Cricetulus griseus: one gene and its partners. The main gene of each other region encodes a partner of the protein of the gene in region 4 in a complex. Links are inferred from orthologs where the notes say so. Each region holds a gene or a part of one and is shown on either strand. Other genes may lie near its edges. The genes, in order: Gpr68, Hrh1, Adcy9, guanine nucleotide-binding protein G(s) subunit alpha isoforms XLas-like, Calcrl, corticotropin-releasing factor receptor 1 and Calcr.

Evidence for each region.
Region 1: the proteins of guanine nucleotide-binding protein G(s) subunit alpha isoforms XLas-like (region 4) and Gpr68 are in contact, whole or in part, in a cryo-EM structure (PDB 9BHM), measured with the Homo sapiens proteins. The link is inferred for Cricetulus griseus from reciprocal best matches to the Homo sapiens genes GNAS and GPR68. Residues at the interface, in NP_000507.1 of Homo sapiens: Arg38, His41, Phe219, Gly355, Tyr358, Tyr360, Phe376, Cys379, Arg380, Asp381, Ile383, Gln384, Arg385, His387, Leu388, Arg389, Gln390, Tyr391, Glu392, Leu393, Leu394; in NP_001171147.1 of Homo sapiens: Gln49, Asn54, Glu55, Leu56, Leu60, Asp118, Arg119, Ala122, Val123, Ala124, Pro126, Phe127, Arg128, His130, Arg133, Thr134, Ile208, Ala211, Val212, Ser215, His216, Gly217, Thr218, Gln219, Arg222, Gln225, Ile226, Leu229, Val230, Tyr286.
Region 2: the proteins of guanine nucleotide-binding protein G(s) subunit alpha isoforms XLas-like (region 4) and Hrh1 are in contact, whole or in part, in a cryo-EM structure (PDB 9LRB), measured with the Homo sapiens proteins. The link is inferred for Cricetulus griseus from reciprocal best matches to the Homo sapiens genes GNAS and HRH1. Residues at the interface, in NP_000507.1 of Homo sapiens: Gln35, Arg38, Ala39, His41, Lys216, Val217, Asn218, Phe376, Cys379, Arg380, Asp381, Ile383, Gln384, Arg385, His387, Leu388, Gln390, Tyr391, Glu392, Leu393, Leu394; in NP_000852.1 of Homo sapiens: Asp124, Arg125, Ser128, Val129, Gln130, Pro132, Leu133, Arg134, Leu136, Lys137, Arg139, Thr140, Ile213, Ala216, Val217, Gln219, His220, Cys221, His223, Lys412, Ala413, Gln416, Leu417, Cys471, Asn472.
Region 3: the proteins of guanine nucleotide-binding protein G(s) subunit alpha isoforms XLas-like (region 4) and Adcy9 are in contact, whole or in part, in a cryo-EM structure (PDB 9U3P), measured with the Homo sapiens proteins. The link is inferred for Cricetulus griseus from reciprocal best matches to the Homo sapiens genes GNAS and ADCY9. Residues at the interface, in NP_000507.1 of Homo sapiens: Ile207, Glu209, Phe222, Arg228, Arg231, Arg232, Lys233, Trp234, Ile235, Gln236, Phe238, Asn239, Glu268, Leu272, Ser275, Ile276, Asn278, Asn279, Arg280, Trp281; in NP_001107.2 of Homo sapiens: Ala381, Phe382, Arg383, Phe1070, Glu1072, Tyr1075, Glu1076, Glu1080, Cys1081, Arg1083, Val1084, Glu1087, Asp1091, Phe1152, Asn1155, Met1156, Leu1157, Trp1158, Phe1159.
Region 5: the proteins of guanine nucleotide-binding protein G(s) subunit alpha isoforms XLas-like (region 4) and Calcrl are in contact, whole or in part, in a cryo-EM structure (PDB 6UUN), measured with the Homo sapiens proteins. The link is inferred for Cricetulus griseus from reciprocal best matches to the Homo sapiens genes GNAS and CALCRL. Residues at the interface, in NP_000507.1 of Homo sapiens: Gln35, Arg38, Ala39, His41, Val217, Phe219, Arg356, Tyr358, Phe376, Arg380, Asp381, Ile383, Gln384, Arg385, His387, Leu388, Arg389, Gln390, Tyr391, Glu392, Leu393, Leu394; in NP_001258680.1 of Homo sapiens: Arg173, His177, Tyr236, Leu237, Leu240, Ile241, Val242, Val245, Phe246, Ala247, Lys249, Ile312, Leu316, Lys319, Leu320, Val322, Thr323, Arg336, Ala337, Ile340, Leu341, Phe384, Asn388, Gly389, Glu390.
Region 6: the proteins of guanine nucleotide-binding protein G(s) subunit alpha isoforms XLas-like (region 4) and corticotropin-releasing factor receptor 1 are in contact, whole or in part, in a cryo-EM structure (PDB 6P9X), measured with the Homo sapiens proteins. The link is inferred for Cricetulus griseus from reciprocal best matches to the Homo sapiens genes GNAS and CRHR1. Residues at the interface, in NP_000507.1 of Homo sapiens: Gln35, Arg38, Ala39, His41, Val217, Phe219, Phe376, Cys379, Arg380, Asp381, Ile383, Gln384, Arg385, His387, Leu388, Gln390, Tyr391, Glu392, Leu393, Leu394; in NP_004373.2 of Homo sapiens: Arg151, His155, Tyr212, Leu213, Ala216, Ile217, Leu219, Thr220, Tyr221, Asp224, Arg227, Ile290, Ile293, Leu294, Lys297, Leu298, Ala300, Ser301, Lys311, Lys314, Ala315, Val318, Leu319, Leu322, Phe362, Tyr363, Asn367, Ser368, Glu369.
Region 7: the proteins of guanine nucleotide-binding protein G(s) subunit alpha isoforms XLas-like (region 4) and Calcr are in contact, whole or in part, in a cryo-EM structure (PDB 7TYY), measured with the Homo sapiens proteins. The link is inferred for Cricetulus griseus from reciprocal best matches to the Homo sapiens genes GNAS and CALCR. Residues at the interface, in NP_000507.1 of Homo sapiens: Lys34, Gln35, Arg38, Ala39, His41, Val217, Phe219, Tyr358, Phe376, Cys379, Arg380, Asp381, Ile383, Gln384, Arg385, His387, Leu388, Gln390, Tyr391, Glu392, Leu393, Leu394; in NP_001158210.1 of Homo sapiens: Arg180, His184, Glu240, Tyr243, Leu244, Leu247, Ile248, Val249, Val250, Ala251, Val252, Phe253, Glu255, Lys256, Ile319, Val322, Leu323, Lys326, Met327, Glu329, Thr330, Lys340, Lys343, Ala344, Ile347, Leu348, Leu351, Tyr391, Asn395, Asn396.

The regions. Positions count from the first base shown.
Region 1 is NC_048598.1:104,876,948-104,881,057, forward strand, and holds Gpr68 (ovarian cancer G-protein coupled receptor 1), read left to right. Parts: upstream 1-1,310; 5' UTR 1,311-1,402; coding exon 1,403-2,530; 3' UTR 2,531-3,822; downstream 3,823-4,110. UniProt on the Homo sapiens protein: Proton-sensing G-protein coupled receptor activated by extracellular pH, which is required to monitor pH changes and generate adaptive reactions. The receptor is almost silent at pH 7.8 but fully activated at pH 6.8.
Region 2 is NC_048601.1:30,303,985-30,308,220, reverse strand, and holds the start of Hrh1 (histamine H1 receptor), read left to right. Parts: upstream 1-1,436; 5' UTR 1,437-1,468; coding exon 1,469-2,938; 3' UTR 2,939-4,236. UniProt on the Homo sapiens protein: G-protein-coupled receptor for histamine, a biogenic amine that functions as an immune modulator and a neurotransmitter.
Region 3 is NC_048600.1:42,358,211-42,361,710, forward strand, and holds part of Adcy9 (adenylate cyclase type 9), read left to right. Parts: intron 1-2,602; coding exon 2,603-2,811; intron 2,812-3,500. UniProt on the Homo sapiens protein: Adenylyl cyclase that catalyzes the formation of the signaling molecule cAMP in response to activation of G protein-coupled receptors.
Region 4 is NC_048599.1:4,771,606-4,775,791, reverse strand, and holds the start of guanine nucleotide-binding protein G(s) subunit alpha isoforms XLas-like, read left to right. Parts: upstream 1-1,386; coding exon 1,387-3,739; intron 3,740-3,952; coding exon 3,953-4,186. UniProt on the Homo sapiens protein: Guanine nucleotide-binding proteins (G proteins) function as transducers in numerous signaling pathways controlled by G protein-coupled receptors (GPCRs).
Region 5 is NC_048599.1:91,136,944-91,140,443, reverse strand, and holds part of Calcrl (calcitonin gene-related peptide type 1 receptor), read right to left. Parts: intron 3,286-3,500; 5' UTR 3,250-3,285; coding exon 3,199-3,249; intron 1,233-3,198; coding exon 1,097-1,232; intron 1-1,096. UniProt on the Homo sapiens protein: G protein-coupled receptor which specificity is determined by its interaction with receptor-activity-modifying proteins (RAMPs). Together with RAMP1, form the receptor complex for calcitonin-gene-related peptides CALCA/CGRP1 and CALCB/CGRP2.
Region 6 is NC_048600.1:117,205,391-117,208,825, forward strand, and holds part of corticotropin-releasing factor receptor 1, read left to right. Parts: intron 1-365; coding exon 366-486; intron 487-820; coding exon 821-974; intron 975-1,201; coding exon 1,202-1,262; intron 1,263-3,435.
Region 7 is NW_023276806.1:221,156,323-221,160,259, forward strand, and holds the end of Calcr (calcitonin receptor), read left to right. Parts: intron 1-1,387; coding exon 1,388-1,654; 3' UTR 1,655-3,437; downstream 3,438-3,937. UniProt on the Homo sapiens protein: G protein-coupled receptor activated by ligand peptides amylin (IAPP), calcitonin (CT/CALCA) and calcitonin gene-related peptide type 1 (CGRP1/CALCA).

The DNA of each region.
Region 1 (4,110 bases), on a different chromosome or scaffold from region 4:
ACTGTGCCCAAAACAACTTCTTCAAGGAATAAAATGCAAAAAAGGCTTCAAAATGTCAATTGAGCAGGGCAGATGGAACTATCACCCTGGCACTAAGGAGACTACAGGAGTAGACAAAGATGTTGCAAAAAACAAACAAACAAATAATAAAGAGGAAGAAAAGAAAAATACCAATGTAGCTAGCCAGGTGAGATTTTTCCAGCTGAGAGAGAAGGGTGCAATCAATAGAACAGTTCAAGCCTTTACTGTTTTGATATACTATCAAGTACATGGGCCACAAAACATTGCATTCTATCTACCTTTAGACATTATCGTGGTCTGGAGTTCCTTTTGTTAAATTCTGAATGCATAGTCCTCAGGAGGCAGAGGCAGGTAGATCTCTGTAAGTCGAGGCTAGCCTGATCTACAGAGTGAGTTCCAGGACAGCCCAGGCTACATGGTGAGACCCTGTTTCAAAGACAAGACATACAAGCAAAAACTCTGAATGCAGTCACCTCACTAATGTGTTGAAGAAGTGAGCATCTCAGAAGCCCCCTTTTGCCCCTGATACACACTGCAGCCGCCCATCCACCTTCTGATGTGGTCCTGACCAGAAAGGGAAGGTGTTTTTAATCCCCAAATTCCAGAGAAGAAAACTGAGGCTCAGAAAGAGTCACAAACTCAGGCAAGTGGCTGGCCCTGGCTTGACCTTTGCTTCTTTTGACCCCCAGTCCAGAACTTTGCCCAAGATCCACTGGGGAGATGAGAGAGGCAACACTTGCTAAGGAGTAGCAGGAACTTGGGCAGGGCCCTGTGATGAGAAACTGTCCATTGTTTCCTGCCACGCACAGAAGGATGTGGACCAGGGTGTGTCTCTTCTGATGCTGTATGGAGAGCTCCCTGGAGCAGCTGTGGCTTCAGTACTGGGTCTAGTTACTTTAGTCCTATAATGTTATCAGACTGTTATTGGTATGTAAGATGATGGAGTCCTCACACTGTGGGCAAGTCGGAAATAACTCTTGCCTCGAGTCTCCTTTGGAGACTCCCAGGCTCAATTATGCTCCTAGGACCTCCCCTTTACCTCCCTTGCTTGCACCAAGGGACAAGAAAAATAAATAAGTGAATGGGATAAATAAGGGAAGCCAGAGACGGGGCACCATAAGCCACACCCCAGTATTTGGGTATGTCTCCTTCAGTTGCACCGGAGCTGCTTGGGTGGTACAGCTTCTAAATGAATACAGCCCACAGAACAGTGCCTGGCATAAGTAGGTGTTACATAGATGTTAGCTGTGATTATTTAAAGCTTCTTCTGCCTTGACTTGTAGGGGTTCGCCTGCCACCAATGAGGAGCAGACCTTGATGGAATTGAGTTACCGCCTATAAACAAGATGGCAGTCGAGAGATTGACTCCATCTCCACGCCCATGAGGGGTGAGGCCCCTTCTGGCCCAAAGATGGGGAACATCACTACAGACAACTCCTCACAAACCTGCCCCATCGACCACACCATCCACCAGACACTGGCCCCAGTGGTGTATGTGACCGTGCTGGTGTTGGGCTTCCCAGCCAATTGCCTGTCCCTTTACTTCGGCTACCTGCAGATCAAGGCCCGGAATGAACTGGGAGTGTACCTGTGTAACCTGACCATTGCGGATCTGTTCTACATCTGTTCGCTCCCCTTCTGGCTGCAGTATGTACTCCAGCACGACAACTGGTCTTACGGTGACCTATCCTGCCAGGTGTGTGGCATCCTCCTCTATGAGAACATCTACATCAGCGTGGGCTTCCTCTGCTGCATCTCCATCGACCGCTACCTGGCTGTGGCCCACCCCTTCCGCTTCCACCAGTTCCGAACCCTGAAGGCAGCCGTGGGTGTCAGTGTGCTCATCTGGGCCAAGGAGCTGCTGACCAGCATCTACTTCCTCAAGCACAAGGAGGTCATCGAGGACGAGGACCGGCACCGAGTCTGCTTTGAGCATTACCCGATCCAGTCCTGGCAGCGTAGCATCAATTACTACCGCTTCCTGGTGGGCTTCCTCTTCCCCATCTGCCTGCTGCTGGCCTCCTACCAGGGCATCCTGCGGGCTGTGCGCCGCAGCCACGGCACACAGAAGAGCCGCAAGGACCAGATTCAGCGGCTGGTGCTGAGCACGGTGGTCATCTTCCTGGCTTGCTTCCTGCCCTACCACGTGCTGCTGCTGGTGCGCAGCCTCTGGGAGGCCAGCTGTGAGTTTGCCAAGAGCGTCTTCAACATCTACCACTTCTCCCTCCTCCTCACCAGCTTCAACTGTGTAGCTGACCCGGTGCTGTACTGCTTCGTCAGTGAGACCACTCACAGGGACCTAGCCCGTCTCCGAGGAGCCTGCCTGGCCTTCCTTACCTGCTCCAGGACAAGCAGGGCCAGGGAGGCCTACCCTCTGGGTGCCCCTGAGGCTTCTGGGAAAAGTGGGGCCCAGGGCGAGGAGCCTGAATTGTTAACCAAGCTCCACTCGGCCTTCCAGACCCCTAACTCACTGGGAGTGGGAGGATCGCCCACAGTTGGGTTGGCCTAGCTTGAGTCATCCGTATGTGAGGCTAGGTTAGGCCTGAGCTTTCACCAACGGGCCTTGTGGTCTGGAGCTTGTGCGGTGGCTGTCTCCCACATTGCCATGTACAGGTGCCTCTTTCCTCAGGCAGGAAGGACCTCTCGGTCTTGGGCCACAGCTAGGTCCCCCCACCCCCTGGAAGCCTACTCTGTGCTGAACCTGGGCACTGCTGAGTGTGTGAATGAGCCCTGTCTTCTCCCATATTCTCTGATGCTGCCTGAGCTACAGGTGGGAGAGAGTCAGAATTGTCACTCCCAGGACGTTTTCAACCGCCAAGCCTTCCGGTGCCACTGTTGCCACACATGATTCCAGTCCAAATGTGCTGTGGTCTTGTGTGACACAGGAAGCTGGTTAAGGTGAAGAATGGGGGTGTGGTGCGGTACTGGTATGGAGGGGGCAGGAACAACAGCAGAGTGACAGCCCCAGGACCAGTCACGTCCCACTTTTACAGGGCTGGTCGAACCCAAACCCGAAGGGCTGATGGCAAACAAACCCCAGGGCTCTCTGGGGAGATCCCAGGGGCCCTCCAAAATGTCATCCTAAAGCTCAAATAAGAGGACTTGGGCCTGAAGCTGTGTCCCTAACCAAGTTCCTGAATAGGGCTTTTCTTAATTAGTTTTTTGTTTCCATCTGACCAGAGTGCTAGCTAGATCTGAGCGCCTGACGGAAGAGAGAGAAAGAGAGAGAGAGAGAGAGAGAGAGAGAGAGAGAGAGAGAGAGAGAGAATATAAAAATGGCAGGGTGTCCATGGCGATTGTGGCCAAGACACTGATACCAGAGTCATGCGACTACTGCCAGGAACTCCTATCCTTCACTCCACACGCTATAGACCATCCAGCAGCCTTTGAGGGGAATGTGACAGTTTCCCAGAGTTCCTAGGTACAACCAAACTAACAAAACACACATCATCATGTCTCTTGACCACAGGTTTGGCCTCAAGCTCCACTCTGATATAGTTCTTGTAGGAGAGTTTGTCAGAGATGGCTGCACGCCAGAAAGACCCATACCTACCCCAGCCTAGGACCTTGTGGGGCAATGGTGATAGCTGAGTGTCCCACACCTCTTCATTCTGCAGTATCCCCGCCCCCTCCTTCCCCTCTCCATTTTGACCTGAAATTCTGGATCTCACTGGCTTGGACTGGAACAAGCTGAGTCTGGCTCCTCTTACAATGGAGAGCTGTATTTTTGTATTGTCATCTCTATTATGCCAAGTATCCCTGTGTTGGACTGTGAGGTGGATTTATGTAGTGATTCAGTCTGCAAATAAAACAAAGTAACCAATCACAGCAGAGTTTGTGCAGTCCTTCTGTGCAGTGACTCTACCGGCACCAAGGAAATCCAGAGTGTCCTTGAAAGACCCCAAATAGTCAGGAAGATCCAGGGGTTGACGTTAGGGAAAACTCAGGACAAGTTGGGGACTGCTCTTGAGCTCCCATCAAGACCAGGCCATCAAGTGCCGTAGGGTCTTCTCTTCTGCCTTGTGACAAGAGTTATGTACCAGTGCAGCACATTGTCAAAAATCTACCCTGGATGCATCTGTGCAGAGT
Region 2 (4,236 bases), on a different chromosome or scaffold from region 4:
CACAGGTTCAACACACAGGTCTAGAGTCTGTCAAGTTGACAGTTGATACTATCACATTCATTTATTGGTTTGTGGAACTTGTTTTTACTTTGTTTTGGGTGCTAAGGATGGAAGTGAGGCTTCCCTGCATGCTAAGCAGCTTTTGTTCCTATCTTTGCATAAAAGACATTCCACAAATATGAAGGAGAAAGGGAGGTGGGGAATAGAACACGCATCAGCCAGGCATGGTACACCCTTTAATCTCAGCACTCAAAGGATAGAGACAGAAAGGTTAAGAGTTCAAGGTAATCTTCAGCTACCTAGGGACTTGAGGCCAGCCTAGGCTAACTGAGACCCTTTTTAAAATTATACTAAATTGTATGCAGTAAGCAAATTAAAATTTGTATTAATTTGCTTATTATAATACATAAAAATAAGCAAATTAGTATTTTGAAGCCAGATATGGTGGGACTTATACCTGCAATTCAGCACTGGTGAAGCAGAAGCAGGGTGATTGCTGCAAGTTCAAGGCCAGCTTGGTCTGCATAGAGAGTTCCATGCCATTCATGCCTGTACCAAGATCTTGTCTCCAAAACACAGACAAAAATAAACAAACAAATAAGCAAACAAACATCTTGTTTGTGATGCTGGGCTGGAAGCCAGGGCCTTGATGATGCTAACCACCCCTCTATCCTTGAGCTATATCCACAGTGCAAAGGACTTTCCTGGGCCTATGCTAGATTCAGTCCACATCTCTGTACCTCTTCTGTCTCCCCTGAATCTCATCCAATTAGGGATGCTCATAGCTACAAGTCAGTTCTCCCTGGGAAGTGACCTAAGCAAAGAAAGAATTTAGCTACTAGACTTTATTGTTCACCAAGATTTCAGGGTCGCTTCAGCAGCCGAGTAACAACTGAACCCTAAATTGGAGCCTCTGAGGTTTTCTTCACAATTCCCTGACCGCCTCCAAACTACTGACATAATCCAAACACCTGTCTTCACTTCCTTCTGGGAAGAGGATAGAAGGGAAAGGGTGCTTTTCATAGTTTGGCATCTGTCATAGAGAGAGAGTGCTTTGTGAGCCCCACTGCCTCTTTCTGGCCACAATTTTGTCTCAGGACCAGCAACCAGCAAAAAGGACACAGATGACAAGACAAAGCTCAGGTCAATCAGGACATGTTTGAAATAAGACCTGCACAAGGTACCGATTGCCCTGTTCTGACTCACCTCTGGCATGCAAACTCCACGAGATCAGAGGGTTTTGTCCAGTTTATCCACTGCTATCTCTGATACCCAGAATGATGCCAGGAATCATGGGATGCGAGGGCAGAAGGAATGCATGAGTGGACGCGTTGGGTGGGTGCCCACTGCCCCCAGAAGCTTCAATCCCAGTCTGAGCAGCATGATGCTCTCTTAGGTGATCTCTGACTTTGATCATGTGTCTTTTCTCCCAGGGTGGAAGCCATCGCTGGAGGCTGCCCTTGCGCCAATGAGCCTTCCCAACGTCTCCTCAACCTTCGAAGACAAGATGTGTGAGGGGAACAGAACCGCCATGGCCAGCCCTCAGCTGCTGCCCCTAGTGGTGGTTCTAAGTAGCATCTCCCTGGTCACAGTGGGTCTCAACCTGCTGGTACTGTATGCCGTGCACAGTGAACGCAAGCTGCACACCGTGGGCAACCTGTACATTGTCAGCCTGTCCGTAGCAGACCTGATTGTAGGTGCAGTCGTCATGCCCATGAATATCCTTTATCTCATCATGGCCAAGTGGTCCCTGGGCCGCCCCCTTTGCCTCTTTTGGCTCTCCATGGATTATGTGGCCAGCACAGCATCCATCTTCAGCGTCTTTATCCTGTGTATTGATCGATACCGATCCGTCCAGCACCCCCTCCGGTACCTGAGGTATCGAACCAAGACCCGTGCATCAACCACCATCCTGGGGGCCTGGTTTCTTTCCTTCCTGTGGGTCATACCCATTCTTGGCTGGCATCACTTCATGTCCCCGGCCTCAGAGCTTCGGGAAGACAAGTGTGAGACAGACTTCTACAATGTCACTTGGTTCAAGATCATGACCGCCATCATCAACTTCTACCTTCCCACTTTGCTCATGTTGTGGTTCTACGTAAAGATCTACAAGGCCGTGCGGCAACACTGTCAGCACCGCCAGCTCACCAACAGCTCCCTCCCTTCCTTCTTAGAAATCAAGCTGAAGTCGGAGGATGTCAAGGAGGATACCAAGAAACCTGGGAAAGAGTCTCCCTGGGGTGTTTTGAAAAGGCCATCAAGAGACACTAGTGGAGAACTGGAGCAGAAGTCAACATCCAAAGACCCCAAAAACCCGAACTCTCCAACTGTCTTCAGCCAAGAGGAAGATAGGGAAACAGTCTCACGTCACTGTTTCCATCTTGATGTCACACGGACACACACTGTGGCTGAGGGAGGTGGCAGGGGCTCAGAGGCCAATGACCAGGTCCTGAGCCAGCCCAAAATGGATGAGCAGAGCCTGAATACTTGCCGGCGGATCAGTGAAACATCGGAGGACCAGACCTTGGTGGATCGACAGTCCTTCTCCCGGACCACCGACTCCGACACGAGCACAGAGCCAGGGCTGGGCAAAGACAAACTGAGAAGCGGGTCTAACAGTGGCCTAGATTACATCAAGGTCACCTGGAAGAGGCTCCGCTCACATTCCAGGCAGTATGTGTCTGGGCTGCACTTGAACCGAGAGCGGAAGGCAGCCAAGCAGTTAGGTTTCATCATGGCGGCCTTCATCCTCTGCTGGATTCCCTATTTTATTTTCTTCATGGTCATCGCCTTTTGCAAAAGCTGCTGCAGTGAACCCGTGCACATGTTCACTATCTGGCTGGGCTACATCAACTCCACATTGAACCCACTCATCTACCCTCTGTGCAATGAGAACTTCAAAAAGACATTCAAGAAAATTCTGCACATTCGCTCCTAAGGGCATAGCAAGAGGATGCTACATAGTGGATGGACGGCGTCTGATGTCCAAGAAGGAACCAGAGGAAGAAAGCATGGGCGTCACTAGGCCCCTGGGTGTTGGGAAATGGAATCTAAGTTCTTGGGCTGAGCAGTATGGAGGTGTTCCCAGGGACCGTCAGAAGAAGAGCAGGTGGCGGCCGTTGGCAGAAAGATTGTACTTTGGGTAGAAAGCAGAGTATTTGGAAGAAGAGACCTGGCAGAGTACACCTGGACCTCAGGGACTGCAGGAGTCTTGGGTGCTCATTGGAAGTCTGGCACTCTGGATGTGAGTTCCCTAGTAACTGAAGTAGGAATGTGTGGCTAGGGCTCTTCTGGAGGGTTAGCCTGGACTCTGAGACTCCTCATGCAAGAGTTGTGTGGTTGTCCCCTTCCAGAGAGGCATGGCAGCTATTCCACTGCAACCACCACTTCCCAGAACACAGCCCTTCTGAGCCCTTCCTAGCTTTCTCCAGAGCCGCCTGCCCCACCCTGGAACCTGCCTTACCTGTGTCTCAGAGTTCCTAGGAAATTAGACAGCTTGCAAGTCCATCATTCTCAACTCCTGATTCCTTTTGGTTCTTAAAACGGCAACAACAACACAGTGACAAAAACTGCCCTCAAAAGTCAAGAAGAAGAGGAAGTGGTTTTTGAATGACTGCATCTTAAAAAGCAAAGCAAAAGGAAGGCGAGAGAGCCTTGTTTCTTGGATGCTCCACCAGGGGGCTCTCATTCAGGGCGACAGAAAGCATGAGCAGGTCCTGTCTGTGGAGTGACAAACTGAGAAACAGGCAGAGGAGATGAGGTTCCAGAGATCGTTTGACACTCATGTGATAACCTTAGAAGAGAACATTGTGTGGTCCCAGCTCCTTGCTACCGGTTTTCTCAAAAAAAAAAAAAAAAAAAAAAAGGGAAAAAATGCATCCTGTCAAGTACTCATGGTGTTCCCCAAGAGGTGACAGTTTCCCAAGCAGCTAACATGAAGCACATTTATATCCACAGAGGGTGACCCTCAGAGGGACAATGTGGTTCCTATCTGTGAGACTGTGATTTCTAATCACACATGCTAAGTGAATCCTTTCGAAGCATGGGAGCATCCAGTTTTATTTATGCCACAGTCTGGTTGTGACTTACATTTCAAAATCTGTTAAACCTCGATGTGTAAATTGCAAGTAGGAACCCCTGTAAAAGCTGGTCTTCTGTGTCTGTGTTCCTGTTTGCATGATCTGTCCAAATGAGATGCTTTTGCTTACCTTAAACAGGACATTTGGAAGGGCAGTG
Region 3 (3,500 bases), on a different chromosome or scaffold from region 4:
GTATGTTCTTACTTCAACCTCACAACAGAGTTGCTGTTCTCATGGGACACTGTTGGTTTGTGCTTTACCAAGTAACAAGAAAATGAAAGCTGGTGTTGACTTCCCACAACCAGAATGCCCCGTGTTCGAACTGTATGTGGATTTATCTTTGCCAGGGAGAAACCCAAGGCTCTTTATGCAGACTGTTTCCTCCATAGCTGGTGTTTCTGGTTTTCTAATGGCTGTACCCAGCCCTGAAAGGATGGTCTGGCTTCTTGAGTGACACTTCTCTCCCCATAGTGCTGTCACTTCCAACTCTCTGAGATGGGACCAGAAAATGAGGAGGTCTGTACTTACATCCAGAATGTGGGGTTGATATCTCCTCTGCCACACCACCATCTTAGCACTCTTGAGTTAAGGGATTAACTTTACTTTCTGCTCACACATCATTTTCTCCAAGAAGCAGTCCTTGACACCCCCTGGGTTTTACTTCCCTGTGTCTTCTTTCTTCTTCATGTGCACCATCCCATATTAGAGTCCCATCTGATCTCTAAACCTAACACTTAGCTCTCTGTTTCAATGCTATCTAAATCCCAGCATATCCCACACACCACATATATTCAGCAGGCATGCTTGAAAAGAATGAATGGAAGAACCCAGAGCCTGGTTGGAGCTCTAGATAGCAGATCACAGCTCTCTTTCCCTGGACCCCCAACCTGACTTGAGTTTCCTAGGGCTAAAAGTGCACCATCACCGGACCCCAGGACTAAGAGGAGTTTCATTCAGATTTCACTTGCTTATTAGGCAGATCTGCATGTCAATTATGTCCAGGCCATGACCCAGGGAGACCATGATGTGCAAGATATGACTAATTTTTACTTTGTATGGTTGGAATTGCTGCCCTGTCAATCCCCCCTCCACCCACCCCCCACCCCACCCCCCGCCCTGGACAGTGAATGCCGTTAAACATTCAAACACAAATACTGCAGGTATTTGCCTAAAGCAAGAAGTATTGAGCCTTAGCACCCCAGACCAGGAGTTGGGAAACCTTGTCTGTCCTGAGTCTTCTCTGCCCAAGCCCTGGCTACTCCCCAGAATGCTAATTAGAGTCCCAGAGAGAGCAATGGCATACATCTGCCTCTGCGGGGGAGGTCATTGTAGCAGCCTCACTTCCAAGATCTTAGGTCTATTTAGGGAACCTCAGAAGTTAGGACCAGACCGGTGGCCATCTTCAGAGCCTCTGAATTCCATGGGTAGGTATTAGTACTCTATCGCTGTGCCCACTCTGCTCAGGTGAGTCCAGGCTTGACATTGGGGCTGACCAGCACTCTCATTTCCCTAGGCCAAGCAAGTCCTGACTTTTCCTATCCTCTCCGCTCCTGGGGTCTATCCAAGGCCGAGGAACTGAGCCAGTTTGACCTGAAAGTATCTTGCATTAAATTAAGGGCTGGTCAGAGGCCTTCCCTCCTACATACCTCCAGCCCTTCATCCCTGACCCCTGCTGCCAAGGCTGAATGCAAAGCCCTAGCAACAGTGTTCTCATCCTTTCTCCAAAGCCTCTGGCCACACATTCTCTCTTCATCCTAAGAAGGCCTGGGGTTTGGGGAGTCAGCTTATCTGACTCTCATTCCCTGTGTTACCTGGGGATAGCCACTCTTGGCCTCCATCTACAGACAAGGAGCAGTAGTGCCTCTTCCTGTATGCGTGTGGAGAGCTCTGACTGAGACGGTGCCTCTCTGAAGGGCCTCTAGGGGCCTGGAACTGGTCATGTTTTCTACACATCATATGCCAGCAGGTTCCTCCTCCTAAATTCCCTGACAACATGCATGTGCTTCTTTAGTAAACTTTGTGTACTGCCCTGTTTCCTGTGCCCGTTATTCCATGATCAGGCTGCCAGTTTCCTTCAGGCATTGTTTCATGTCCATCCTGCCCCCAGCCAGCACAGAGCAGCACCCACACAGCATTATCTTTTTTTTTAAAGGATTGGTTCATTTATTATTTCTTAATGTGTTTGCTTTCATGTGCGAATGTACATGTACTACATGCATGCCTGGTACCCATGGAGGTCAGAAGAGAGTATTGGATCCCCAGGATTAGACTTATGGATAGTTTTGAACAACCATCTGTGTGCTGGAAATCAAACCCAGGTCCTCTATAAGAACAACAAATACTCTTAATTGCTGAGCCTTCACTCCAGCTTTGAAGGCTCTCTTGATAAAGGGTCTATGCTCCCAGTGCACACATGGAAGCTTTCCTTGGCTGCTGCTGCTCTAATGTCTGCCCGTCTTACCATGATGCCAGCTTTCATATCCATCCCTTCACTGGACACTTCCATCACCCGCTGCCTTTACAGATGTGTCCTCCTGGACTTAAGACAGTAACTCCTCTTTCAGAGTGACTATGTAAATGGTTTGAGTCTGTTGACTTTCAGTCTGTTGCTGTGTGACCCTAGTCAAATCTCTTAACTTCTCTTTGCCTCTTCTCTAAATTCGGCAGTAATGAGGCGATGATCCACATGGAGCATGCCCCAGCCTGTGCCTGGTCAGGAGCATTCCCTCACACTGTACCTCCTGGCCATCTGTGGACAGCTGCATTCATCCCTGTCCTCTCCTGCTCTAAACAGGTCATCAAGAATTCTCCTGTGAAGACTTTTGCCAGCGCCACCTTCAGTTCCCTCCTGGACGTGTTTCTGTCCACCACGGTGTTCCTGATCCTCTCCATCACCTGCTTCCTAAAATATGCAGCCACCGCCACTCCTCCCCCACCGGCTGCCCTGGCTGTCTTTGGTGCAGACCTGCTGCTGGAGGTGCTGTCCCTAGTAGTGTCCATCAGGTATGCCCCGATTGAAGGAGTGGCTCTCCAATGTTTGGCTTTTAGCTCCCTCTTCTGGCTCCACAGTTGATGGCAAAACTGATTAAGCAACGCAGGGGCCAGGAGTCTGAAGAAAGCAGAACTTCCCTTCCTCTCAGCCCATTCCATCCTCCTCGCAGGCACTGACCTCCACTCCACCCAGGTGGGACTCTAGAGAGGTCAGCCCCCTGTGCAGCCCAGCTGATGCCAGATGGGCCCTGGATCTCCTAAATTAGAGATGAAAAGGAGAAGTGAGAAATTAAGAAAGAAGAAAGGGAGGAAGAAGTACAAAGGGCAGGCAGCAGCAGAGCCGAAGTCTCTGCTAACCTAGGAGCCAGGCCAGCCCTGTTGAGGAAGTTGTGTCAAATGTCTGAGCTTGGAATAGGCCGCACTTGCTTAGATATGCCACCAAACACCAAACTTGCAAGCAACAAGAAAAACAGATAACTTACACTTTATAAAGGTTTTTAAAAGTTTTATTAAAAAGAATACCATTGAAGCCTGGAGTATGGTGGCACACACCTATAACCCTAGCACTTGGGAGATGGAATCAGGAGGATCAGGAATTCAAAGCCATCTTGGCTGCTTATCAAGTTCAAGGCTACCTGGGCTACACAAGATCTGTCTCAAAACAAACAAAAAACCCTAAGAGAGAAAGAGAGAACAGCTAA
Region 4 (4,186 bases):
AAGCCGCGAGTCTCGGTCGCCGTTACTGCCGCGGCACGGTGGGTCGGTGGGTTAGTGCTTATCGGGTCCTCTAGTTTTTAAGACCACTCTAAATGGGTCACGATCCCACGTATCCCACCCAGTCTCCATTCCCCCTTCCTGAGAAGGCAGAAGCCCGTGCTAGGTGGGGGTCTTCCGGTAAGCCCCGCGCCCCCTCCCCTATCTGCGCCGCCGGCGCCGCAGCGGTAACCGCGTAGGGGTCTTTGCTCGATTTTGCCGCAGTGTACCGCCGAGACCCTTATTTCTACTGCGTCACCATCCACATAAACAAGCCGAAGCCTGATGCGTCACGCTAGGCTATTGCTGAGAGCCCCCCCACCGGAAGTGTAATGGGGAAGGGGCATATTGAAGGGGGATTTACCGAAGCTATCCTTGACAAACAGCAAACAAAAACATTTAAAAAAAAATAATAAAATTACCCCGGAGCATTTAAAAAACAAACTGCGTGTTCATATTTGACAACTCATCGCCCTTCATCCCCTCTCCGCCTTTCCGGTGGGCTCACGACCACCTGTCGCATTTTTATGATCGCTCCTCTACCCCTTCCCGGGCATCCTAAAGGCTCATTTCCCCAACTCAGAGCTGAGAACGGGTAATTGCCCGAGGCTGGGGTCCTCGGATAAGGTGTTTGCCGCAGACTGGGGTAATCTGGGGTGACAAAGTCCTCCTGCAGTCCCTCCTCCCCTCGGGAAGAATCTGATGGGGCGGGAGGGTTTCAGCGCCTGTACTCTGTCAGACCAATGCCCACGTCTTACGTCACGTGGCCCAGCAACGCAGGAGAGCGCGCTCTCTCTCTCTGGCCAGGGGAAAAGCGAGGAGCTCAGACTCAGAAGCAGTCTGGGAGAGGAGAGGAAGGAGGCGAACCTCCCTGCGAGGCCTGCGCTCATCAGCCCCCATACCCAAAGTCGGGAACTGCCGGCACCGGGAGCCAGCTCCCGGAGCCGGCTTAGCACTGAGACCGGCGTCCTCTGGCGGCAGAGAAAGAGTTTTACTAACGATTTTCGAGACGAATCGGCACGCTCTTAGATGCCAAGAAGGCGGGGCCAAAGTTAGCAAAGTAAGAAGAGAGTCCAGAAAAGTCGTGGGAGTGGCTGGCCGACCGCAACTTGAAGGCAGAAGTGTGGCTCCGGAGGCTCCGGGTCTTCCCAGCAAGAAATGAGGTACTTCAGCCACGATCTTGAGTTTTAGCCTCTCAGAATCTATCCTTACAAAGATTGGAAACTGAGGCTGGAGAACTTTCCAGCCAATACTCGAATATTTTAAAAGAAAAAATTTTTTGACCCTAGTTTGGCTGGGTGCTCCGTCTTACGGGGCCCCAAATTTATTTTAAAAAACCGCAACCGTGTTATGGGCATGCGCAGCCGCGTCCACGGCAACAATATGCCAGGACAACACGATATCCCCGGTGAAGTCGGGGAGCAGCCCGAGCAAGAACCTTTGGAGGCCCCAGGGGCAGTTGCCCCCGGTGCTGGGCTTGGCCCAGCCGAAGAAATGGAGGCCGAACCGTCTGCCAATGAGCCCATCCCCGCCGAGAACGGCGCTGAGGGCTATGGACCCCAGGGGGTCTCCGGAACCGACTTTCAGGGCGTCCACCAGGCGGTCGAGGAAGTCGGAGTGGGTGGAGACTATAGCCCCCCACCAGAGGAATCCATGCCATTTGAGACGAAACAGCCCAGCCCCGGAGGTTTCTGGCCCACCCTGGAGCAGCCTGGAAGATCTGGGGCCCAAGCAGGTCTCAAAACCTTCAATCCAGCGCTTTTGGAGCCCGGGACCCCCAGTGGTGCGAGCCCCGCCCAGGGAACCTACAGCCCCCCACCAGAAGAAGCTATGCCATTTGAGTTCAACGAGCCTGCCCAGGAAGCCCATAGCCAGTCGCCCTTGCCAGTCCCAGACCTTGCGCCAGGAGGTCCGGAGGCAGAGGTCCTCAGAGCACTTCCCGCGGAGCCCGGGAACATCAGATTTGCAATCGCTAGCTTGCGAGATGACTACAGCCCTCCACCTGAAGAGTCTGTGCCGTTTGGGCCCGATGGAGAAGAATTTGGGGGCGATAGCCCACCCCCGGGCCTCCCCCGAGTCACCCGACAAGTCGGCTTTGGCGGCGAGTTCCCGACAGCCGCGGTCCCGAGTGCGCTCAGTCTCGCTCCCGCCGAGAACGCGCCTCCCCTCTGGGTCCACAGCGCCATTGACAGACCGTTCAGCGAGGCTATCAGAGCTCCCGCTAACTTCGCCTGCGACAGTCCCCCAATGGAGATCTCCAGACCCCCGCTGGAGATTGGCAGAGCCTCCTCTAGGGTCGGCGACGACACAACTGTCAATATGGACGGCCCCCCAATCGCAAGTGTTGGCCCGCCCATCGAAGTCTCCGGAGCACAAGATAAGAGCGAGCGCGGCGCAGAGAGACCCCCAGTTGAGCGAGAAGCAGCCGACATGGAAGGAAGCCCAACCACCGCTGCTGCGGTGGAAGGAAAAGTCCCTTCTCCGGAGAGAAGAGACGGATCCTTCACCCAGCCAGAAGCCATGGATGACAAGCCAGCCTCAGCTGCCCAGACCGTCGCTACCGAACAAGATGCCGCCTCCGCGGCTGCCAGCGGCGGCTCTCCTCCAGCCCCAGCAACACCCGCGGATCTCCAAACCGATCCCGAAGAAGTCGGAGCCACCCCAGCTGTCCGCGCGGAGCCTGACGGAGGAGCAGCCCCGGTCATCGCAGCAGCAGCCACCCCTGCCGAGTCTGAAGGTGGAGGAGATCCAGCCGCCGCGGAGGAGCCAGCCTCCGAGGCAGTCCCTGCCGCCAAGGCCGAGCCTGCCTCCGGGGCAGCCCCCGTCACCCAGGTGGAGCCCGCAGCGGCGGAAGTCTCTGCTAAGGCAGAGCCTGCCGCCCGGGCAGCCCCTGTCACCCCTCCGGAGCCCGCTCCCCGGCCAATCCCCACTGCCAGAGCCCATCCGGCTGCCGGGGCAGTCCCTGGCGCCCCAGCGATGCCAGCCTCCGCTCGGGCAACTGCCGCTAGGGCAGCCTATGCAGGTCCTCTGGTCTGGGGAGCCAGGTCACTCTCGGCTACTCCTGCCGCCCGGGCATGCCTCCCGGCCCGTGCAGCTGCCGCCGCCCGGGCAGCCTCTGCTGCCCGGGCAGTCGCTGCGGGCCACCCAATCTCTGTCGCCCGGTCAATGTCTGCCTCCCGGGCATACCCTCCCGCCCCGAGCAGGGCCCATCTTAGACCCCCCAGCCCCGAGATCCAGGTTGCTGACCCGCCTACTCCGCGGCCTGCTCCGAGGCCGAGCGCCTGGCCAGACAAGTATGAACGTGGCCGAAGCTGCTGCAGGTACGAGGAGGTATCATCCGTCATCTGCGAGATTGACTCCTCCAGCGATGAGTCGGAAGAAGGGGCCAACGGCTGCTTCCAGTACCTTCTGCGACGAAACCGCCGCCCCGGCCAGACCCGGAGCCACACGGTCGGATGCAACCCAATCCGCAACTTCTTCACCAGAACCTTTGGAAGCTGCTTCGGAGCCCCCGAGAGAGCCCGTTCCCTCAGCCCCGGGAAGGCCAAGGATCCTTTTGAAGAGAGGCGCAAACAGATGCGCAAAGAGGCCATTGAGATGCGAGAGCAGAAACGCGCAGATAAGAAACGCAGCAAGGCCATCGACAAGCAACTGGAGGAGGAGAAGATGGATTACATGTGCACACACCGCCTGCTGCTTCTAGGTAATGCGGCATCTTCTGCCCCTGGGCAGTAGGGCCGCCCTGGGCACCCGGGGAGGAGGTGGTAGGGCCTTCCGGTGGGGCTTGGGCCTTGACCACGGGAGGAGGGGGTCTGGAAACCCTGATAGAAGTTCCACGGAGGGACCCCAACTCTGCCCTGGGGGTGGGAGAGGGGATTTTTTGAGGGTTCGGGTGGCCGAAGTATATACCCTCCAGGGAGAAAAGTGGTGCCGAGCGACACTGAGGGTCGTTACCGGCCGGAGGCCAGCGCCAGCGCCAGCGATCGTAGGCTGGACAGGCGGGGGCGTGAGGTGAGCCCAGAACTGCTGGGGAGGGCCCTTCGGGGCTCCCCCGGCTTAATTGTTCGTGACCGCGGTGGGCTAGGGCCATCGGGGTGCGCGCCCCCGCCTCGCCTGGCACGGCTGCTTCGACTCAGACAGCTTGTTGTTG
Region 5 (3,500 bases), about 86 Mb from region 4:
AAAGGATTTTCCTAATGTTCAGCATTAACTTTTAGTATTTAGACCTTTCTCCAGATCATCTGCAAGGGGTTAATTCAATAGTTTTAAAGCAATGATATAGAATAAAATGATGTCCGTTGACAAATGTTTTAATTACTTTATACTTCAATTTTATTGATGCCCTAAATCAAGTAATTTGTCATTGTTTTGTAAATTTCAAAACATACTTTTCTGACTGCTACAACAAAAATACTGGTGCAACTCCAGTAAATAAATAGTTCTTGGAATATTAGTAAATGTATGGTCATTTAAAGTAAGCTTAAAGGTGTTAAATGTGAAAAAGGTTTTCTCATTTTTAAGAGCAGGGTCATTTTTAAGTGCAAATACATTTTACTTTCTTATTTGACCAAATACAAGTACATTATAAATGTTTTTTCTAAATATTTTGAAATCTTTCTTTTCTCTGAAAAAAAAAAAAACAGAATTATCCAAAGGGTCCACATTGGCCTTTGGTCCACTCTGTTTTGTACCCTATATTTGAAACTAAGTCTGCCTTGGACTTCCCAGATTGAACCAGGAAGTTCTTTTGAGTTTGGATACGTATGGAAACTCTACTTTGGTGACACATCTTTTATGTCCTGAATCAAGGCAAAGGTCAGGTGCTTGGAAGGTCCTCCATGAATGGCACCAATGACAAAGGGTTTTCTTAAGGAAAATAGAGCATTTAGACTTTGATAGCTTTGCTACCAAATTTACTATGAACACATGTGTATTATTAAAAAAAAAAACCTGCATACAAGTTTTATCAAGCAAGGTGTTTCTTTAAAAAAGATAAATTTATGAATTACATGAACTAAAGGTCAGTGATTATTGACTTATCTTGTTTTAATATTAATATATAAGTATTTTTATACCTTCTAAAGAACAATTCTGGAAAATTTAGCATATAAAATATTTTGTTAAATTTTACTATAAAGAGTTGAATCATGCCATAAAATACACTTCACAAATACATAATGAAAATAAGCAACTAATTAATTTTTAATTAATGTATTTAAAGAACCCACATAGTTCTTTTAAATATTTGTAAAGTATATCTAGAATTAGTAGTCGCTACCTTCTGCCTGTTGAATAGGATCTTGCATAATCTTTTGGTAACATTCATATTGAGCCGTCATGATCTTGTTTCTAGTGACTCCAAGATCTGTTTGGTTAAAACCTTCTTCTTCTTCTGACTCTGCTGTGCCAAGAGTCTAAGGGAGTAAAACAGTGGCTTTAGAATGGTGGAATCTTAGTTAGAGACCTGGTGGAAAACATCAACAACAGTGAGGTGCTTGATCGCTAGAGGACTCTCCTGAGGAAAACCCCAGTGTGTGGTGTTCACCACGTTCTGTAGTCTAAACTCTGTGTCCAGTTTCAAACAGCCTTCAGGTGCTGTCAGTGACAGCACTGACAGGAGCTTCCAACTCTCCAAAGCCTGTGGTAGTTGACTGACTACAGCACAGCCTAAAATACTTGTTTTGAAATGCAAACAGCCATATTTAGTCCCCCAGTTTTGTCACTTGCTCTGTGAGTGTTGGCCAGGTATTCATCACTACTACCAAGACTCCCTTTCATCTCATAAAACAGTAGAAAATGGCATCCGGATATCAGGGAGTACCCATCACATGGAAAATAAGCAAACTTTGTACATTTGAAATGTCAAAAAAATAATTTCCTCACTGCATGGCATCACATTACCTGATTAACACTGATATTGACTGTTATTTTCTGGTAGGCTTGAGTTTCTTAATAGAAAAGTTACTCTGAGAAGTAATAAGTGAAATCCTAGACCATCATGACTATTTTTAAGTCATTTGATCTTATTTGTCAAGCTGAGGTTGAACCCAGTGACTTGTGTAAGCTAAGCAAGCACTATAGATTGAGCTACATCCTATCCCAAGACAATGTTAGAAAATCAAAATAGATAAAACCATTTTTCTGAAAAGCTTTGTAGAAATTAAGCAAAGTAATAATAGTTTCTAACATATTTATATACCATCCATGGATGAATTCAAGGGAAAGGGTCACAGCTCCTTATATTACACTAAGCTGATTGGTAAAATGTTCCAGTGTTGCCTGCAGGGAACTCTGGTTGGCCCATGTAGCTTGCTGGCACACCTAACTGAGGGTATTAGTTGAAGAAACAGTTCTGTCCTTTGAAGTCTAGTCAGTTACCCAAGATAACATCTCATAACCGCAGACACTAGACTACTTCTAGGCTTGAGGATGTTTTCCAATGTGTGTACTCACAGAAATGTAATATTGCTTTTTTGCTCATTTAAGTTTTCAGTTCCTTTGTTTGAATTTTTTTTTTGAGTGCTTTGCTTGGAAACACCACAGGAAAGTTCTTTGCTGGCACAGAATTAGATGAGATTATGTCTCTGGGTTTCCCATTCATATAAAGAAAGATGAGCAGCACTGACTGCTTTAGTCTGATGCAGAGAACAAGACGAAGAGACACACGACTACAAATAAGAAGTGAAACCAGGAAGCATGTAGCTCTTTTGAGTTTGGTAACCCTCTGACTTCACTTCTGGCTTCACAGCAATAACACACATATGTAGAGATGTGCAAGGATGTGCACATTCTCATGGAGATGCACTTGCCCCAAATTCAGCATCAAGATCTATTTGAGTGAGTGAATTGATGAATGAATGAGTAAATGAATACAAAATACAGTACATGTCTCCTAGATTTTCTTTCAATCAATACATGACAATCAATGAACAAAAAACATTTTACATGTGGCCCTGTCTCAAACCCCCCCCCACCAAAACAAAAAAAATTTAAAGACTAGAATATGTTTTTTTCTTACAAATAACTGAATTTGTGTGTCTCTCTAAAAATACTTTATGTGCTGTGTGTAACTGTACTATTATAAAGTATCACCCCAATGTTTTTCTAACTTCACCACTTTAACACGAGATTTGCCCATTTGAATCCATTGATTTTCCAACCTCCTTCAAGGACTCAACAGTCCATATTAGTTATAGAAATTCAAAGTATAAAAAAATACTGAATGAAAAGAAGTAGATTATTGCCGTGTTACTTGGATATAAAAATGAAATCAACTTACTCATCTAATAATTACTTTAACTTGTTTATTAACTTTTAACAATTTGGTGTATATTGTAAGTAAAGCATAATAGTAACTCATAAAGTGGGATGAATACTTACCATATTAAAGAGGAAGAGCAACATAAAATATAGTATATGCTTTTTCTCCATCTTTAGAGTCCAAATAAAATGTGCTGTATGTTCAAACTATAATAAAAGTGAAATAAATAAAATTCAAATTCATGAAATCAATATAGGTTTCAAAAGGAAATATCTGTTATAATTCTACACTATCTAAGAATTTAATTAGTAGTCCTACAAATATTGAAAACATTATAACAGAGCTTAGTGAAATATATTCTAGTTTAATTTGACTTACAAGTAAGAAAACATTTTGCATATGTATTTTTGTGTATAATTCG
Region 6 (3,435 bases), on a different chromosome or scaffold from region 4:
ACATCCCTGGCTCAAGGTCAAATGTGCATGGCCAAAGTGATGGGAAAAAGCTGGGAGTGGGTGGGGCCAGGAGCTGAAAGTTGAGGGGGTCTTACTGTTAGAGGTCTCTCCTTTTTGCCAGTCCCCTGCCTTTCATTCCTGGGGTGTGCAGAACAAAGCGGGAATCTCTGACAACACCAGGCTCCACCAGCAGTGGATGTCTTAGTGGCCCCAGATAGGAATGGACCTGTGGAGCTCAGGGCAACCTATCAGCCCCACTCACACCAAGATGTAGTCTTTCCATCTTGCATCTGGGCTGGAATGATGCTGGTACCTGCCCTCATCCTGCCCTTCTCTCTGCCACCTGCCCTCTGCTGCTGCCCCAGGAGCATCCGGTGCCTGAGAAACATCATCCACTGGAACCTCATCTCGGCTTTCATCCTGCGCAATGCCACGTGGTTTGTGGTCCAGCTCACCATGAGCCCCGAGGTCCACCAGAGCAATGTGGTGCGTCCCAGCTAGGGAGACAGAAAAGGCCAAGCCTGGGTCAAAGGAGCTAGAGTGGGGCTACCCTGTAGAAGGGCTGGAGAAATGGCTCAGCAGTTAAGAGAACTGGCTGCTCTTCCGGAGGATCTGGGTTCAATTCTCAGCACCCACATGGCAGCTCACTACCGTCTGTAACTCCAGTCCCAGGGGATCTGACACCCTCACAGCAGTGCACATAAAGTTTAAAGGGGGCAGGCCTGAGTACCCACAGAACAAGAGGAGGACCCCAAGGAACCTGAGGGTGGGGCACTATAATTGACCACCCCCAAGCTCATGGTCATCTCTGGTTGGGCAGGCATGGTGCAGGTTGGTGACAGCTGCCTACAACTACTTCCATGTCACCAACTTCTTCTGGATGTTTGGCGAAGGCTGCTACCTGCACACGGCCATCGTGCTCACATACTCCACTGACCGCCTACGCAAGTGGATGTTCATCTGTATTGGCTGGGGTGAGCTGAGCCAGCCCCTCCCCTGCATCTCCTCACCGAGGAGGAGACGTGGGCTGGCCGGGTGGGGAGGGAGGTGTGTGCACCCTTCTTAGGGATGAGAATAGTGGGATCACCATGAAGGAAGCGTCAGAGCTCAACCCCCAGAAATCCCTGCTCTACTATATGTCCTGGACTGCCCTGGGGTCTTCCATCAAAGGGTTCAGTGACAGCCCCCCTCTCTCTCTTAGGTGTACCTTTCCCCATCATTGTGGCATGGGCCATTGGGAAGCTGTACTACGACAATGAAAAGTAAGTCACTTTGTGAGGTCAGAGCCTTCAGCACACTCCCCGGGGGGCTTTGGCCATTGTCTGTCCTGTAAAGACAGCGGCTTCTGCATCAACAGAGGCAGAGCTGAACACTGGCCTAAATTCAAGGGTCCTTCCCAGTGCTCTGCCAAAGGCGGAGCTAGGCAGCCAGGGTCACCTGTCTGGAGTTTTAAGAAGAGCAAAACCAGAATTCAGGCATCCCAGGTTGTGAATTGTGCTATCACTAAGTAGCTATGTGACCTAGGGGCTGTCGCAGCAGGCCTTAGTTCCCTCATCTGTAAAATGGGTATCTTCATTCTAGCTACTGCCTCAAAGCTGTAGGGAAGATGGAGTGCAGCCCAGTATTCTAAGCACATAGAATAGAACCTAGAGCCCAGTAAATGCTACCCAAGTGTTTATTGCCCAGCAAGGTGTGTTTTACAATAAGATTCTATGGCTTTAATGGGAACTAGTCCAGGTGGTTTCAAAGACTCTCCCAGCTTCTCTCTGAAGCCTTGGGTTGTTTGAAAGGACACTAGTGCATTCCTAGTCAACCCTGAAGTCACAGCTTGGGGTGGGGGGCATCCCAGCTGCCCCTTACAAGAATCCAATGGGAAGATCTAGGAAGTTCTGTACCTCAGAGCTCTATGCTGTGGGAACAGGGTGCTTCTAGTGTGAAGCTAAGATTGAGAACTTCACAGAAAGACAGAGAGAAGGTGGGAGGAGCCAGGCAAGGCAGAAGCCAGTACCTGTGCCCCATCAGCATTCCCAGATCCCAGCTGCCTGACTTGGTGACTTTGGGTTCACAGTGGCAGTCCCTCCCTTCCTCTCACTGGGCTGCACTAGGAGTCTGGAAGTGTGTCGTCCACATTTGTGAAAGTAGTTCCTTCTGCCTCCGGCTGGAGTGTTTGCACAGCAGCAGAGTAGGTAGGAGGCTGCAGGGATCCAGTTCCTAAGTGGGTGTGGAGTGTTCCTGGGTATCCTCTTGGAAATTCCTGAGTGGGGTTGCCTGTGCTTTGTAGGATGTGAAAGTGTGAGTACAGGAGATGGGTGGGGGAGGGGGAAACTTGAGTGAGAGAAGAAAGAGAGGGGCTGGGAAAGCCCCGTGGCCCCCCTTTCCACCCTGGAGCAGAAAGGGTACCACTAAAAAGCAAGTTAGACGTGAGCAGCCCTGAAGCGCCATCTGGTGGACAGATGCAGGCAGTGCAGCAGAAGGATTCTGGGTGTGTGAACATGGGAAGAGAAGCCCCAGGGCCCCAGCTTGGAGCCCACAAACGGTGGCTTTAAACAAACCTGTTAGAGACAGAGGTCATATCTTCAAACTTCACATTCTCGTTTGAAGAAACATCCATCTCAAAGCCCATGTGTCCATGGCGACACAGGACTTCCAATTATCTACTCCCCGGAGCTTGCTGAAGGGCAGCTCAGGAGACTGCAAAGCAACCCTAGTTCTTGTCATATCATACATGTTAGCTGTGAAATCTCCCCTGCACAGGCTGCTCTCCGATGGAGTCCGACAGAAGTTGCCAGCTGTTAGGAACCACCTGGGTGGCAGGGCAGTGAACGTGTACACAGCCACTACTAGAGTCCCTGAGTGGGTGCCAGAGAAAGCAGTGCTAGGCCAGGATCCAGAAAGTTTCTGGCTTGCTGTTTTGAGAATTCTTTCCCTGAGAAACACAAACAAGCAGCTACTCCTTCCTTAGGGGTCCAACGACAAACTCAGATGCAGTTCACTGAAGTCCCCCTGGGGGAGCCAGTAAATTTACTGGGATTGCTTACAGGACGTAGGCAAAGGGTTATTTATAGAAGCATAGGTGACCTCAAAGTAGCCAGGCCACTAAAAAGTCTCCCCACAGCATGGGTATGACGTCCCTATAGCTACATAAATGGAGTCTCACCCCAAGTTACCTCTGTAATGCCAGCCCCTCTTAAGACATGAGGCTTTGTGCAGTCAGGGCAGAATTATATACAGCTAGCCTAGAGGCATAGGAGGCAATGGCTGGAATCTCAGGCAACCCCTCTCTCCCTACTTCCCCTTTCTATGAGGGAATGTCAACAGTTGGTTCCATCCTGAGGGTCTCTTACAAATAGTCAAAACTGCGTGGATGAGGGTGATGGCCTCTGGGAGGCCTTCTCTTCACAGAGTTTACTCCAATTTCATTTTCCACAGCAGAGG
Region 7 (3,937 bases), on a different chromosome or scaffold from region 4:
GAAATCCTGTAATAATAATTTTAAATATTAAAATTGACTTCAAACCTTTTGGCCTCCTGTTGGACTGGATAATCCAGTATATGTGGACATTCTAGTGGAATTGTAAAGGGACAGGTAAGGCAAAATCAAGATTTTTTTTTTAATCCCTGTGGGGCACTTATGCCAACTAACAATACATTTGTAGCCATCTGCAATGGATGCCTCTAAACTCAAGGGTTTTGCTGTAAGAGCAACCTTGGTGTTTAAGAGATGTTGAATCTATGGAAACTATTGGTTTCCTTTATCTACAGACACTGCATCGCAAAGATAATGAATTGGCATCTTTCCTAGTTTCTCAAGAGGACATTGGTAGTTCCTAGATTATAAACCTGACATCAAGGGGCTCATCTACAATCCAAAAAAAGTCAGGCTTCACTTGGAACTCAGGTTCTACCACATTGCAGCTCCCTGACTGTCCACAAATAGCATAGTCTAAGCTGTCCCATCTGTAAGTGGACACAACAGTGGTACCCTTGCAAGGAGGCAGCTTTGAGGATTAAATAAATTAATGCAAATCAAGTGATTATAATATGGCCTGTGGCAATTAGTCAGGAAGTGTTTACTAAATGCTTTTGCCATCCCTTGTCCCTGTATAACTTTTACCAAGGCAAAATCCAGCTGCATGGCACACCCCAACCCTTGGCGCTTCAAGGTTTTGTCTCTCTGTCTGTTTAAAATATAATTGAATATAAAATGGTACACCCAAACAGGTATATTCACAGTTTGTTTGAAAAGTCCATTATTTCAATGATCCAATTGCCAAATTATTCCAATTGTTTTTCTCCTAAAAGAGACTGAAGTCTTACTCTTGAAAGGTTTTCGGCTGCCTTAGTCAGAATTTCCTGTGGATAGTCAGAATTTTCTATGGATAGTCAGAATTTTCTATGGAACACCTCATTTGGAGCCTTGTTTGGCAAGGGTAAATCCACAACATGGGTCTATTATCATAAAATTTGGAACTATGTTGTCACTTATGGATATATTTTCATGATCTACATGAGTTCAGATTTGGATAAAATCACGTCTTAGCATGAATGGCAGCAGGTAAAATTTTTCCTAACATGTCTGCTACATTGAGACCAATCAACCTTCCCTCGCAGGCTGTAAGAGCTAAGACAGAAAGCTTTGCTCAAAAATGGCAAATAGCTTACCCGTTGTTACCCAGACAAGTGACTCACTTCTTCGATTAGCGTACCGTTATTCTACGGTGGTATAGTTCATAGTCACGGTAATAAACTCAGTTCTTAGAGCAGATCTACAGCTTAACCTCCTTTAGCCTCTGATAAGCCCCAAGAGTCAAGCATAGAAGCTGATGGTCACTGAAAACAAGCTCTATCTCCTCTTACAGGTCCAGGTTGCCCTGAAGCGCCAGTGGGCTAAGCTGAAGATCCGGTGGAGCCAGCGCTGGGGAAGGCGCCGCCGCCGACGCAACAACAACCGCGTGGTTGCGGCTCCTCGCGCTTTGGCCTTCGCTGAGACAGGTGGCCTCCCCATTTACATCTGCCATCAGGAACCGAGGAATGCTCCCATTAACAACAATCAAGGCGAAGAGGGTGTGGAAATGATCCCCATGAATGTCATCCAGCAAGACCCATCCGTCCCCCAGGAAGACTAATCTGCTTGAACGTGAAGCTGCCCCAAGAATTGTGATCCACCGAGCCTTCATTCCTGGGAGAAAGATAGACCATGCATTTCAAGTGACCCCCATCCTCCCAAGTGCTGAGCATCTCATTCGTGAAGAATTATTAAGTGAATTTGTCCATAGTGATTTTGAAGAGAGTTATTCTTGGTACTATTGCTTTGGGAGACAGTCTAGGAATAGAGTCTCTCACTGCAACTTGTCAACTCCATCATTCATCTAGGACTGAGGTGTTGAAGGCAAAGTATCCAAAAATGCCACTAAATTTACCTAGTTCAGATAAGGGTGCTCCTTGTTAATCTTGAGCCATTTGTACCTTTGAAAAATTAAAGTCACTCTCAATATTTTTAATTGTAACACTAGACTTTGAATTAGACTATTTCTGTATTTGGCTATGGATCTGGTTTTTAATTTTTTTAATTTTAATCAATTCCTATATTACATGTTTTAACATCCATACAATGTAAACTGCACAAATAACATGACCTCTGAGAGATGATGCAGTTTTTAAACCGACAAGCAGATAAGTTAAAAGAGATGATGTGTTGAATAGGAAGATATGATACTTTGACTGAAAAGACATTTAGAGTGGGTTTACTGGAACTGTATCACAGTCAGATTGCTTTTGGATAATCCTGTCCACCAGGAAGACCCAAATGCTGTAAGGAATTGATCTGAATGCTGTATTGACTTGGTCACTGACATTTATAAATTGGGAGGTCACCAAGAATCTATCTCCAAATTTTTCACTAAACTGCCAAAATTGTAATTTTCCATGAAAGAGGACACTCTTCAAAGAATTTTTGACTTTCCTAAAGTACACGATTTATAAGGCAAATCACTCCAAGGTTTATAAAGCAGATTACCTCTTGCCCTCGGGTGCTATCTAGCAGTAAGAAAGAGATTTGTTTACGACTGGTAATTAAAAGACTCCATACAAGTCCATTAACTTCCTCCTCCCACCCGGCTTCAAAGCTTAACAAGATCTCTGTGTTTTCCAGGAAGACTCAGTGCAGCTAATTACAAATCAGTTTTTAGTTGACCTCTTGTTTCCTGCTATTAGCAAAAGAGAGGAGGAAAACACAGCATAAAGAGTTCTTTTAACCACGTATTAATTCATCTTAAAATACAAACAGAGCTTCTCATCAAAACCCAGACTTACATTTCTGCATCTCTCTTTACTCCCCAGTATAAGATCTTCAAAGATCCATGAATAAACCAATAACCATTACTGATTTCTGAATCTGCAACAGCAGAGTTATCATTATCTAATTTGTATGCTAAATAAGGAGTTTCATTGAAACCCCCCCAATCTCTGCCTGTCTGTGACACCTTCTATCACTGCCTATCAGAAGTGATTTGCTTGTGTAAAGATAAAACTAAGTAGTTCTGGTTACACATTTAGTGCACCCAGAGAAAACCATATTTCCCTAGGGACCATGGACTTTGGATACTGAAAGTGTGTCTCCTTTACCAAATGTAAGGGAAGAACTGAATCGAAGGGTATTTTGTTCCAATCACAGTGTTACATGGCTATGTTCCTATTTTTTGTTTACAAACATCAAAAACAGTGTATTTCAGGCAGCTCTAGTATAAATGTGATAATGTATTGCTAAAATATTTGAGATGTTGTGCTGATGTAGTAGCAGCTGCTGAAATCAAACTGACTTATCATAGTATTGCATGCGATACCTAAATTGTGTGAACCGCTTTTGCTATGTACATGTATAAATTAATACAGAGCATATTGAAAAGGCAATGATATGTATTTGCATATTTTTTCTAGAGAAATATATTTTCATTTTTCATCTTTCATCCATTCATCTTGTTTCTGCTCATTCCATGCTTCCTTCATTTCAACCTTATACTACCAATATCCCACCTTGTTTGTCTTGTAGGAGCCAGAAAGATCTAAAAGCATAGGTTTCGTGGATCACAAGATCCTTGTCTTTATTAGTGTAACCACTTTCAATCTAACCTAGTGACACAGCCCTCATAACTCTTGATAATATGAAACCCTCCATAACTGCCAGTCTGTTATGAGATTTATTTGAGGATTACAGCATGCAAATCCAGGACAAGGAAGTAAAAAATCATTTTGATATGTGTTAGTTTCCCTTGCTCTGGAGCCAGACTTGATCTGTCCAATATCACCTCAGGTCACTAGAATTGGTATAATTACAAGTTTCTAATATCATTTGGAAGAAAGACTGAGACTTAATAAAAGGTAACCAATTAAATATCATTAGGATGCATAAG